3 linked regions of the Bombyx mori genome follow. The protein of the gene in region 2 binds, or shares a complex with, the protein of the main gene of each other region. Links are inferred from orthologs where the notes say so. Each region holds a gene or a part of one and is shown on either strand. Other genes may lie near its edges. The genes, in order: cell cycle checkpoint control protein RAD9A, cell cycle checkpoint protein RAD1 and checkpoint protein HUS1.

Region 1 (3,495 bases), about 2.0 Mb from region 2:
ATCCACATTAATACCTAATACTTTCAATAAATAAAAACTACTTTCTGTAAAAATTGTATCAATTTCACTTTGCCTTAAAGCAATGAAGTAGGTTTTTTTAAATCATTAAGCTTTTGAGTTTTGTATCTTGTTTCAAAGAGTTGAGATGGTGTCTTAAACATACGCTTTATATAAAATCAATACATATTGTTACCGAGATAAATACATATATAGTGAGAAATGCATAGTGATGAACCCCTATTTTGGTCTACATCATGATCGTTGATTTGTAATGTGTGTATACTGTTTCTCTGTATGTATATTTTTTGCTATAAAATCAATGCAGTGAACTCTATATTTTATTTGAATCCTTTTATGCCTTTAAGAAAACATAAAAAATATAAATCATATTATTTTGTGGGGAGATCTCTAATCAAAATTATTAACCAAACATCAGCCATAATCTTTGAAGTGGTTTATGAGTCTCCCAACAAATGTAATAAGACCATATTATATTGCTGAAAATTAGATAAGATAATATTGATGAAAATTGGGAATATTTTAATTTTTTTTAATCTGCTTTCAAACAACTTTAAAAACATTATTTTTTTATTCACTGTCTGAATTCTCAGCTAAAATGACACCTTGAATACTTTTTGGATCAAAAGTACTTTCAAAACATCTCTTAAATACTGATTTTATCTTAGTCCTTGAAGTTGGAGATGCTGGAATAACATTATCAAAGTCTATTTGTTCTTTAACATTATCTAAATTATTACTAGCTTTAAGATTTATATCATCAGGGATATCAACAAAATTAAATAGATGAGAGTCCTCTTCTAAGCACTTAGAAAATTCAACATCTATATGCCGTTTCTTTTTTACTGAGCCTTGAGTATTACATGTATCTTTTCTTTTATTCCTTTCCTTTGTGGTAGTGCTCTGTGTTGATGTTGCTTGTGTTGCATTGTCTGGTTTAGATGTTGCTAACACAAAATGTGCTTCAAAAGTAGTTCCATTATGGACTATGAATACAGCTGGACGACCTGTAGTCTCAAAATGAAGTTGCAACGGCAAATTTAATGCTTCAGCAAACGCAAGTAGGGCTCTGAACTCTTTTAATGTAAATGTTATAGTGGTTTCCTCTCCTATGATGTAGTTGTCAAATTCAGCAGGATCTAAGCTTACATGTGTTCGAATTATTTTTGTCAGATCCATATTACTATCAATATAATTTTTTATTACCAGTGACTTAGTTGTGGCCTCTAATGTCACTTGGTCGTCAGAGGTTTGGAAGCTGTTCAGTGTTTCGTTTAGTATTCTTTGAGGTGAAGTAATTCTGAAAAATATTTCATTACAATCTAACAGTGATAAAAATAAATTAATATTTTATTTTGGTTACAATTTTTACCTGTTTGGTACTGTATCTTTAGTGTACACAGCCTGCATCGCTTTACAGTCTAATATTGATACAAAATGTGTCTTAACTATACCATGCTTGCATTTCAAACAAAATATTAACTTGCAAGATTCTGGATCTAATTTCATTTCCAAACTTTCTACCTGTTTATCAATGTGAGCTGGAGATTTAAAGGCGTTTAAAGCAGACTTCATCGATATTTTGCATTTCAGACCTTCGTTATCTTCAGTCGAGTAATAATTGTAATTAAAATAAGAAAAGAAGTTTTTGTTAAATTTAATCATCGCATATGCGGATTCGGCTGCATTCAATGTTCTCAATAATATACAGTCGGGTAATGACTCCAGGTATAATTCATCTCCAAATCGAGCTAAGGTATGTACTGTTCTTGCTAAAACTAAAATTATATAAAAATTATATTCGTTTCCGAGCCAGCATAATTTCAGTATTGATAACACACACTTTATATTACCTTTAACATTAGGCCCCGGAACGTGACACTTCATTGTTATGTTGACTTCCTCAGAAAGTTAACTAAAATCTACTTTAAATTCATTTCTAGGCTTTAACATCAATATAAGGATTACCTATGTTTTCACTATAATTTTTTGTCTAATTTCCTGATCCTGACCTACTGAGATACCAGGTATTATTAGGATGATACGAGTGACAGATATTTGACAGTTCTCGTGATGCGACGACAATTTAATGATCCAAATGATCCAAAGAAAATTAATCCACATGATTATTTTAAAAATTGTACTGTAAATATTTATAAACTATTCTACATATTGATAGATTGACTATTGATGGTTTGACTATACAGAAATATTTTTGAAGTGAAACTTCCTTATCGGCGTTGGAAAAAAATTTACCGTCACGTTTTTCGGTTACGCGTCACTTTTTTCCGTTACGCGCCATCTTTTAATTAACGGCTGTATGTTCTGAAGTATAGATGCGCATTTGAGAAACCGACCTCATGTCTCAAGGTGGGTCACGGAATACATTTTGTAATTGCAATAATCCCAGGTAACCCACTTAATATCACGTGGACCGTGCTATTATTGTTATTACGTAAAATAATAGGAAGAAAAGTACCAGGGTATTATGATATCAAAGAGATGTATTATTATAACTTTACTCTGACGTACAGCCTTCTTTATTAATTAACGGCTGTATGTTCTGAAGTATGGATTCCGATTTGAGAAATTGACCTCATGTCTCCAGGTGGATTACGGAAATCATTTTGTAATTCCAATAATCTCAGGGAGCCCACTTAATAATATCACGTGGACCGTGCTATTTATTACTGTTATTACGTAAAATAATAGGAAGAAAAGTACCAGGGTATTATGATAGCAAAGAGATTTATTAATAATTAACGGCGGTATGTTCTGAAGCATGGTTTCGGATTTGAGAAATCGACCTCATGTCTCAAGGTGGGTCAAACTTCACGAACCTCAGGAACCCCATTTAACACCACGTGGACCGTGCTATTATTATTAATTTATAGGAAGAAAAGTACCAGGGTATTATGATATCAAAGAGATGTATTATTAAAATGCTGTAATAATCTTAGTAGCAAAAAGGTAAAGTGAAATAATTGTATTATTTGTATTCATGTCTATTGTCTATGATAATAAAATCCTTTTGTTTAAACTTTATCTAATTTAACTTTATTTAACCAATTTCTAGAAAGTTGCATGTAGATCATTTTTCGAAAAATAAGGCCATAAACAAGTTTCACTTCTTACGTGTGTACACTAGTACACGCACACATTTTTTTATTTAGTACCATTGTAACAAAATCAATAAAGAGGAAGAGAAAATGTTAATTTATTTATTATTGTTTAATAATAAATTACCTATTTTATACTACCCTATGGTTATATTAAACAACAGATACAAAGTAGAAATAAACAAACCATCCTCTTTTTTATTGTGTATTAGGGTGAATGATAATCATATAAAATCTATTGTGAAATTACGGTATGCATGTATATATAAATTATTTTAAAAGAGGGTTTTTTAATATTTATCTGGTCACAATAGCAATAGGCAGGACTTTCGAATCATAATTACAGTTAGTTATCGCT
Region 2 (4,250 bases):
CATCGGCACTCCTCTCGACGTCCCCCAGTACTGCGAGTAGGGCTCCGGCGCGGACCACGAGCTTCGCCACGTCCGTCTCCTCGGGACTGCGAAGCTCCAGCATCGAATCTGGGGTCTGGCTCCATATCTCGCAGTCCGTCATGACGTTACGAAACGACTGAGGCTGTAAGCTGATACGAGAGTGTTTTTATAGCTCCTGATTTTTAGTACATGACAACCATTGCTTTTTTTTCTACCTATTCTAAATCTAATGACCTAGAGGGGTCATATTAGATTCGTCGAAAGGGTAGGTGAGCTCACGGGGCTCTAACCTGAAGACTAGCTAACACTAACCCTAGCAAGAGCAGTGCTTCGCAGAATCTACCACCGGATCGGAAGCGCGACTCACTGAGAAGATCCGGCGAGAAACTCAATGGGCTGTGTCTATGGGTCAATTGACTCGCCGAGCCTTCATTTTATCTCTGCAACGCTTTTATGGTCGACAAAACAAGTCTACCATTATCGAGAACATTCCCGATAATATTAGTCACTTTATATGTGTTTTTGATATTTGATAATAGATGGCGTTACTCTTACCGGCAATAGTAATAATATTTTTTTATTAAGAGGCTATGACGATGTAAAATCCTCTCAATAGATATTGCGGAGATACTTTAGCTCATCCTTATTGCACCCAAGTTGCTAATGTAGATACAAACAGACTGTACCTTTTCTGCATTTAAGAACTCTTTTTTAGTTGCTGAGCACACCAGGAATTTGGTGTTGTCAGCTTCCATGTAAGCTCGTCAAAGGAGATTATCCTGATGTATAAACTTACACAAGTAACAGCGGGGATCCTTCACATTTGTAATACATTTTCAAGCTGGCCTCTTCACCCGAGCCAAATATGTTTAAGCATTCTGCTAAAACTGCTAAGCTGATCTGAAACATACAAAAAAATGTTTATACTGAACATACATAGAGACACACAGCATACATCAAATAAGATTCATGAATGACTTGGTTTGAATTTTGACTCTTCCATTCTCCTTTGAAATGGTGGGTCTTATTTTGATAAACTTAGATAGGAATTATGAGGAGTTACAAAAGTACAAGTAGATATTCAATTATTTGTACATAGGCTTAACTAATTTATCAAAGTTTATTTGTGCAGTAATGTATACTGTAAAGTTGCTAATTATCTAACAGATGACAGGATCAGATTGAGTCTGTACCAGATTTGTTAATTTTGTATTTTTTTATTTGTAATTTTCGATGCCTCCAATGAACACTACTCTAACTCAAAATTTTGAATTTTTCGTTTTTCTTGCAAATCGCTTCACTATGATAAAAGTATTACAATTAATCATTATTGATGGGGTTCGAAGCAAGACTAAATCAGCTAGTTACACAAAAAAAACATAAATATATCTGCAATAATAAAGATTTTTCATCATTCAGAATCAACTTTTTTCATTTAAACGCTCCTCCTGTAAATCTACGAATTAGGAGTTAGCGTAGTGTTCATTGGAGGCATCGTTTTGAGGTGCATTGAAAATTATCATTATAGTATTTCAATCAAGGTGAACCTATAATTTTTATAAGAACACTAAAAAACAGCTATAATTGATAATCAAGAAGTATGTCTTGTTAAGTTAATATATATTGAATTTAAAATGAATGATTTAAGTTTGAATTCGAGGATTGTGGACAGCTAATATATTTTATATTTGTGTATTCCAACCTTAAATATGACATCTACATCATCCCTAACATGGTATTCTGTGAAGTTGTCAGCCGGTATATAAGCTGAGGCTTGAACACACTTGCCTTCCTCCACTGTTAACTTCAAACCTTCAGGTAGAGCACAGAACACTGCTGACTGAAATAAAAGGCATTGATAATTTAATACTTACCACCCATTTAAATAAATGCGAGTAACTATTTAAACAATTAATTGGAGATTCATGACTATATTTTGCTTGCTTGTATTTTAGAAGTTCATAATAATACTTATATCAAATCCAACTGATACTGTAAAACCGATAATAATTACAGCATTGTACCAAAAAGATGTACCATACATACTACATTATTGGTTTTAATAAACATTTCGACAGGTGAAAAGCTATTTGGTTTAAGCGACATATTTGCAACTTTACAGGCAAGCCATGTAAAGTTTAAAATTTAGAAAAAATATCATGACCAAGAAACATCTTCATCTATTTGAATGGAGTCAACTTAATTGAAGTTCAATTAAAAGCAACAAGCTGTTGATGCCACTGCTAAATAAAACGCACTTTAAATTCCAAAAATAAATAGTAACCGAAATGTTGCCTAAACCATACAGCCTTTCCCCCCTTGACTTTACTTTTACTGGTGGTAGGACCTCTTGTGAGTCCACGCGGGTAGTGGTAGGGTCCACCACCCTACCTATTTCTGCAGTGAAACAGTAATGCGTGTCAGTTTAAAGGGTGGGACAGCCGCTGTAACTATACTTGAGACCTTAGAACTTATATCTCAAGGTGGGTGGCGCATTTACGTTGTATATGTCTATGGGCTCCAGTGACCACTTAACACCAGGTGGGCTGTGAGATCATCCACGCATCTATGCAATAAAAAAAAAATATAATATTAAATTTTTTAAATAAAAATTTCAAATTTATTTTCTATTAATTAATTGGGAGACATATAACAAAAATACTTCTGAGTGAATTTAAATGCATTTCAAATGTACTAAGAAAAATAACTCAGTATTCACATCATAGACTACCTCTTGAAACTGTATTGCTTTTAATAAACTACACAGAGTCTTTCCGGAGTCCATGCTAGCCGTGAAATGGTATTGAGATGAATCTTCAGCCATTTTCTTCTGTCAGGTCAAACATGGACTTCAATAACATCAGGTATTGATCATGTGTAACTGAATGTGGGCTGGTCCGCTCTAATATTTGGGCCAGTCTAGCTGCCAAAACGTGTTTACATGTGACCTGATAAATAAATAAATATATTATTCAGAACAAGACCATTTTACTGTTTTTGTTTCACCTTTATTTATATTTAATTAACTTTAAAGAAGTCTCTCAATGAAATGTATGTATTCTCAAAGAATACCATTAAATCAACTTACATGTTTTGTTTTGGTTAAATTATTATGAAAATTAAATGGTTTTGTTAATAAAACTAGAAATTTTTTAAACAAAATTGGAACGTTTGAAAAGTTTTAATCAAATTGAAAATTTAAAGTTGGATCTGTCTTCAATTGAGTATGCAGTATTTATGATAGATTGTGGCTGTCTCGAACAATTTCCTTTGTCTTCAGGAAGTGTTGAATCATTACTAACCTCAGTTTTCCGTTCAATAACAAGGTTTTTGAAAGCAAGACACGGACAGAAGTTTATTTTCGGGAACACTCTATAGCAGCGGCCGTTGTCCCCTTGAACTTCGATCAATGTTCGGCCTTTTGGATTCGTGTAAATTATAAACTTTGGGTGCTTTTCTAATATTTCCAGCGACCTTTGCAAAGTTACACCGAATATGGAATGTAAAGCTAACAAATCTTCATCTGAAACTGTAAATATAAATACCGTTAAATGTAATCTTTAGACTTATAAGCTGTTCTTATTTTTTCATAATACTGTGTAATGTCTTAACTACATTAATCAATTAATTAACTTTGATAATTTCGTAGTTACAAGTTAAAACTTTCGCTTTGGAAATGTCAATTTAAAGTTTGAGGACGATTTCTCTTGTTAGTTTAAATCATTTAAATAAATATGATTCGAACCTACGTTGATTTGAATTTGTATTTTTTACGCGGGCTTCAATTTGTTTCAAAATACTTTCCGCGATAACTGGTATTTTAGATTCAGAAATCCTCATAATAATAATCAAAGCTAATATAATCACCAGATTTACATTAATTTACATGGATTTCTCAATTCTAGGAGATGGGTCGAGGCTTAATTTAATTTACATACACTTCTCAGTTTAACCAAATAAGTTTAAAGTTTTTATGAACCTGTCATACAAAAGTTGACAAACCTATGTTTTTTTTTTATGGGATTTTATGACCTGGTAACTAAGACCCTTAGGTCAAGTTTTATTTTAATTTTAATAAAAAAAATGATATTATTAATGAAATTTTAATAATTTATCGTTTATTATTAACAAAAACTTATTAACAAAAAATTAATGAAATGAAGTTGATTAATATGAAACATGGCATGAAATGAAATGAAAGGAAATGATATGATAACGAAATGAAGTGA
Region 3 (4,353 bases), on a different chromosome or scaffold from region 2:
GATTTATGGGGTGTTTGGAGGATTTGTCAATAAGCACACAGGCACAGCATAACTTTACCTGATTTTATTAGACACGACTGAAGACTAACAAGATGCAAATAGCAATGCAGCGTTTTTTATGGCCTTTGTAAACAGACAGGCTTGTGGACACCTGATGGGGAGTAGTTGCCCTCATACATGAAGCAATGTCAGCAATGCCAGAGGCACAGCCAAGTTGCAACCGCTAAGTACTCTTTGTAAGCCTTGTTTGAAGAAGCACATGTCATAGCGCTAAGGAAAGGGGTGAGTTAATTGCAGAACCAGATGGTATGTGGAAAATATCTCTGCAAATGCACTGTGAATAAACACAACACTTTCAAATAGTATTGACAAATTTTAATCCAAAGGCGGGGGTGCGTTTGATTGTTTAAAAATCGAAATAAGCACTATACTGGAACTTGATACTTACAACATTAGTGTAGTCTTTGATTTCAATAAAAATGAATGCATGTTTTTTACACATTCTTACATTCTACATCTTATGAAACTTGCAATAGTATTTAGAATATAAATCAACTAGGTGGAAATCAATTAAGAATAGTACCGGCAGAGGGCGATTTAATTTCACTAGTTACTAAATAAATATTAATAGTGAACATTTCTAATGAGGGACCGCCTAATAACACTTGGATGGACTGCGTGAAAGAGCACATGTGAGAGAAGGGTGTGAGTGCAGAGATAACGTATGATAGGTCTGAATAGAGAAAGAGGACATGCTGACATGAATGAATAGGTCCTCTACACTACGGGATAAAGGCAACAATTAGAAGACTCAAGATTTCTAATGTGTTACATATTAACAAATCCGTGGGGCTTCATTTTATTAAGGTCATTCCTAGGTCTACATTAACCAAGTCATAAGTGAACAGGTGCTATTTATTAAAAGCATACCACTTCAATTTCCAATGTTAGGCACGGACACTGTTTCTTTGTTAACTTCATTTTTAATGATTTTACATTTTTCAAGGAGACAAAAGATCTTGCGAGATTACCTGAAAATTACAGTAAGTTGTATTACGGCATTTTACAATTTTGCTATCTGCCACAGCCATGCTCCTAGTATTACTGATATTCACGAATGATGATGGGCTTTAGAGGGGCCATGATTCTGTTTATTAGCAATAAAAAAGGAACACATTAAAATTCAACATTCCTTATAGTAATTTACTGCACAGTAACATGATTTTTTGTCTGTCTGTCTGTAATATTTATTTTTAAAGCATTGTTATTGATACTTTGCTATAGGGGTGGTTGTTACAGGAAAATCAAGGGTTTTTTGTGATTTGGCAAACTAAACTAAATGATGCATAATGAAATTGATGGATTGGTTACAAGAACTAACTATGATAACTTGGAAAACGATCTAACAGTCCTCAAGTATTCAATATAAATAAGTATCTAAGATACTGTTGATTATTTTACTTTAAGTACACTGGTGGTAGGACCTCTTGTGAGTCCGCACGGGTAGGTACCACCGCCCTGCCTATTTCTGCCGTGAAGCAGTAATGCGTTTCGGTTTGAAGGGCTGGCCAGCCGTTGTAACTATACTTGAGACCTTAGAAGTTATATCTCAAGGTGGGTGACGCATTTACATTGTGGATGTCTATGGGCTCCAGTAACCACTTAACTGGTCCACCCATCTAAGTAAAAAAAAAGTGCAACACATTGTCATAAAAAACGAACAGTTTCAGAACTGTTTATAAACTGCTAATTCCTACACACAAACACCAAAATCTTACAGATAACACCTAACACACACAACCTAACCATGCCAAACACTTAAATTACATTTGTGTTCAATTGTCTCTTATGTTTATTGTTATTTAATTTTCTCTATGTTGAACAGTGTATTAAACAAAGAATGCTAGGCAAAATATAAATACATGTGAAAAGAGGTTTAAGCTATTAATATTGCATGATTATCATTTAAAACATTTTGGAGTGCAAGTAAACAATGATTTCTAATATCTGATTATAACCCCTAAGGGTCTGGAAGTCTGGCATCTTAAGCATAAGCTTAAGGTCAGCTAGTCCTAAAATTTTTCCACTCTTTATATTTTAAATTTTTTTATTTTATATATTTCTAGACACCATGAAACTTTAAATGGTATTGGGAAAACAACAATTTATTATTTATTTAAGATGTACCTGAATGAAGATCACCACTTTTTTAAACTTAATGGCTATTAAGTTAATATCAATGATTATCAATATCTAAACATTTGATATTGGAAATATTCACCAAGAATAATTTATTTATTTTATCATAGCACTTTTTAATGGAAATTATAATACCCGAATTCAATCCTAAATAAATGTCTTGGTGAGTTTCATCCATTCCAACCAATTGATATTCAGAGAAAAATACACTTTGTGGTATTTCACACCATAGTACCGGAGGGGCTGGTCCAGTGTTTTCATCGCTGACAATGAAATACAACATATCGTCTGCTATCCTTAGGACACACTCCTTAGACAGTTTTGATATTGTACTAACAATAGCTGAAAACAAAATTCTGGTTACAATAATCAAAAACTAGTAAGCAACACCATTAAAGCGGAGTTTTACTTGAGAATTCGCGTATTGGAGAAGAGTTATTCATAACAGCACGGAATTTCATAGTGATATGTTTTTCGTCTTTTGAAAACAGTTGTTTAATTCGTGCAAAATGAGATGATGAATTGCACACTATTTTAAGATATATAATAATTAGTAACTAAACACAGTTTCGACATGTAATTTATGTTTTATTTTTCCAATACTGTGTTGTTTTCAAAACTTAGGCAGCGCGAAAATTGAGTGAGCATTGACAATATAGATTTGGCTAGTATTGCAACTGCACAAAAACTCTTATCAGTATTGAAATCGACTTAAAGTGCAAAGGTGATTTCATGATGCAAACATTTTGGTTCATTGAGAATAAGTAACGAAGGCTATCCAGCTGTAGTTTCTGTGAACTAATAATAATGAGATACCCCGATGAAACTGTTAAGAAAGCCGAGAAATAAGTAATGGCTTTGATCTTTGACAAGAATGCTCCTACAATATTCAATTTGTAATTTTAAACATTCTTGCTAAACGGTGTTTTAAATAACAGAGACTTTTAGCTAATTAAAGTTTTTCGGAATGTGTGCTTAAGGTATCTTACAGAGCCAATTGATTTAGTCCCTAAATGTAGAATGATGCTCGTAAGAAAATATTAGGATATTTCTACCGTTTTTGTTGATCATCTTCTGTTAAAGAAGAAAACTCTCGTTTACGCCAGTCTGAATCTGCTACATCTGTACGTATAGGATATACTACGTGAGCCGGAAGCACCTAAAAGAAAAGATCAGAGTATCTTTTCAGCGTGAGACGAAGTTTGATACAAAATTCGTTCTATTGTAAAGAATGTGTGTTAATATTGGCGATGATAAATATTTAATATGTAGGTATAGGTGCATACATTTACATGTAACTGTCTCTATCACAGAGTTTAGTAGTTTGGGTGTTAACAAAAAAGGTAAGATCTTACACCGAGCGGATAAAATTGCTCGGTAGACTAACGGTTCTAATGTTGTGGTTCGAAACTCGTATCTATGCAAATTTATCTTGAAAATGTTGTTAACAAGATTCAGCCTTTATTGCTTAGATGGATAGACGAGCTCACAGCCCACCTGGTGTTAAGTGGTTACTGGAGCCCAAGGACAACGTAAATGCACCCACCTTGAGATATAAGTTCTAAGATCCCAAGTATAGTTATAATGGCTGCCCCACAATACAAAACCGAAACGCATTACGATTTCACCGCAGAAAATAGGCAGGGTGGTGGTACCTACTTGTTATAATGTTATAATGTTCGCCGAAGCACGAGTCGATTGATTCTTTAAGACCATGCGGAAAAGATGCACATCCCTGATTCGCCGGGTCCGGGTCAGCCCTAACAGCATCCTGAAGGCATTAACAGACCATTATGACTGTCGGTACTTGAATCATTGTACCATGGGTCATTTGCGGACTAAATAATAATAATCGCGTTTTTAATAATGGTTGGTTCGAAGTAATTATCAGTTGAATAGAATATTTTAGATGTATTCAACTGATAATTATTTTTAATAAATGTATCTTTTGATGATTGAATGATGATGATTTGAACTTGATTTAGTCGAATCCATTCCTTTGCGATCTGGCAGCTTTGACCATAGAGTACAAACGTCACTGGTCTTGAAGGTAGATGGCGCTAACATGTCATCCATGTTGACAAGTTTCTGTTTACGGTTAGGTATTTGTCTCTATCTTGCACGAGAGTTTTACGGTATGCGAAAAAAGGTAAG

Evidence for each region.
Region 1: the proteins of cell cycle checkpoint protein RAD1 (region 2) and cell cycle checkpoint control protein RAD9A are in contact, whole or in part, in a crystal structure (PDB 3GGR), measured with the Homo sapiens proteins. The link is inferred for Bombyx mori from reciprocal best matches to the Homo sapiens genes RAD1 and RAD9A. Residues at the interface, in NP_002844.1 of Homo sapiens: Glu165, Ala166, Ser168, Glu169, Asn195, Ala196, Gly197, Ser198, Ser199, His200, Leu201, Asp202, Tyr203, Pro204, Asp206, Ser207, Glu211; in NP_004575.1 of Homo sapiens: Leu76, Ser82, Val83, Ser86, Leu90, Lys92, Leu112, Phe116, Gly117, Val118, Arg119, Lys120, Thr121, His122, Asn123, Leu124.
Region 3: the proteins of cell cycle checkpoint protein RAD1 (region 2) and checkpoint protein HUS1 are in contact, whole or in part, in a crystal structure (PDB 8GNN), measured with the Homo sapiens proteins. The link is inferred for Bombyx mori from reciprocal best matches to the Homo sapiens genes RAD1 and HUS1. Residues at the interface, in NP_002844.1 of Homo sapiens: Asn85, Val88, Asp91, Cys92, Ser94, Ile95, Phe96, Gly97, Ser98, Gly127, Val128, Val129, Thr130, Val131, Cys132, Lys133, Ile134, Asn135, Gln137; in NP_004498.1 of Homo sapiens: Thr165, Ser168, Val169, Lys172, Met173, Asn175, Ile176, Glu197, Leu198, Val199, Cys200, Val201, Thr202, Thr203, His204, Phe205, Lys206.

What each region holds. Positions count from the first base shown.
Region 1 is NC_085122.1:9,591,730-9,595,224, forward strand, and holds cell cycle checkpoint control protein RAD9A, read right to left. Parts: upstream 2,247-3,495; 5' UTR 1,906-2,246; coding exon 1,872-1,905; intron 1,797-1,871; coding exon 1,391-1,796; intron 1,319-1,390; coding exon 589-1,318; 3' UTR 520-588; downstream 1-519. UniProt on the Homo sapiens protein: Component of the 9-1-1 cell-cycle checkpoint response complex that plays a major role in DNA repair. The 9-1-1 complex is recruited to DNA lesion upon damage by the RAD17-replication factor C (RFC) clamp loader complex.
Region 2 is NC_085122.1:11,566,839-11,571,088, reverse strand, and holds the start of cell cycle checkpoint protein RAD1, read right to left. Parts: upstream 2,846-4,250; coding exon 2,753-2,845; exon of another isoform or gene 2,614-2,752; intron 1,862-2,613; coding exon 1,724-1,861; intron 922-1,723; coding exon 818-921; intron 171-817; coding exon 1-170. Other genes in the region: zinc finger SWIM domain-containing protein 7-like, read right to left, coding at 2,838-2,969, 3,324-3,550, 3,771-3,861. UniProt on the Homo sapiens protein: Component of the 9-1-1 cell-cycle checkpoint response complex that plays a major role in DNA repair. The 9-1-1 complex is recruited to DNA lesion upon damage by the RAD17-replication factor C (RFC) clamp loader complex.
Region 3 is NC_085134.1:9,690,761-9,695,113, reverse strand, and holds the start of checkpoint protein HUS1, read right to left. Parts: upstream 2,879-4,353; 5' UTR 2,661-2,878; coding exon 2,609-2,660; intron 2,556-2,608; exon of another isoform or gene 2,542-2,555; coding exon 2,335-2,541; intron 1,032-2,334; coding exon 931-1,031; intron 1-930. UniProt on the Homo sapiens protein: Component of the 9-1-1 cell-cycle checkpoint response complex that plays a major role in DNA repair. The 9-1-1 complex is recruited to DNA lesion upon damage by the RAD17-replication factor C (RFC) clamp loader complex.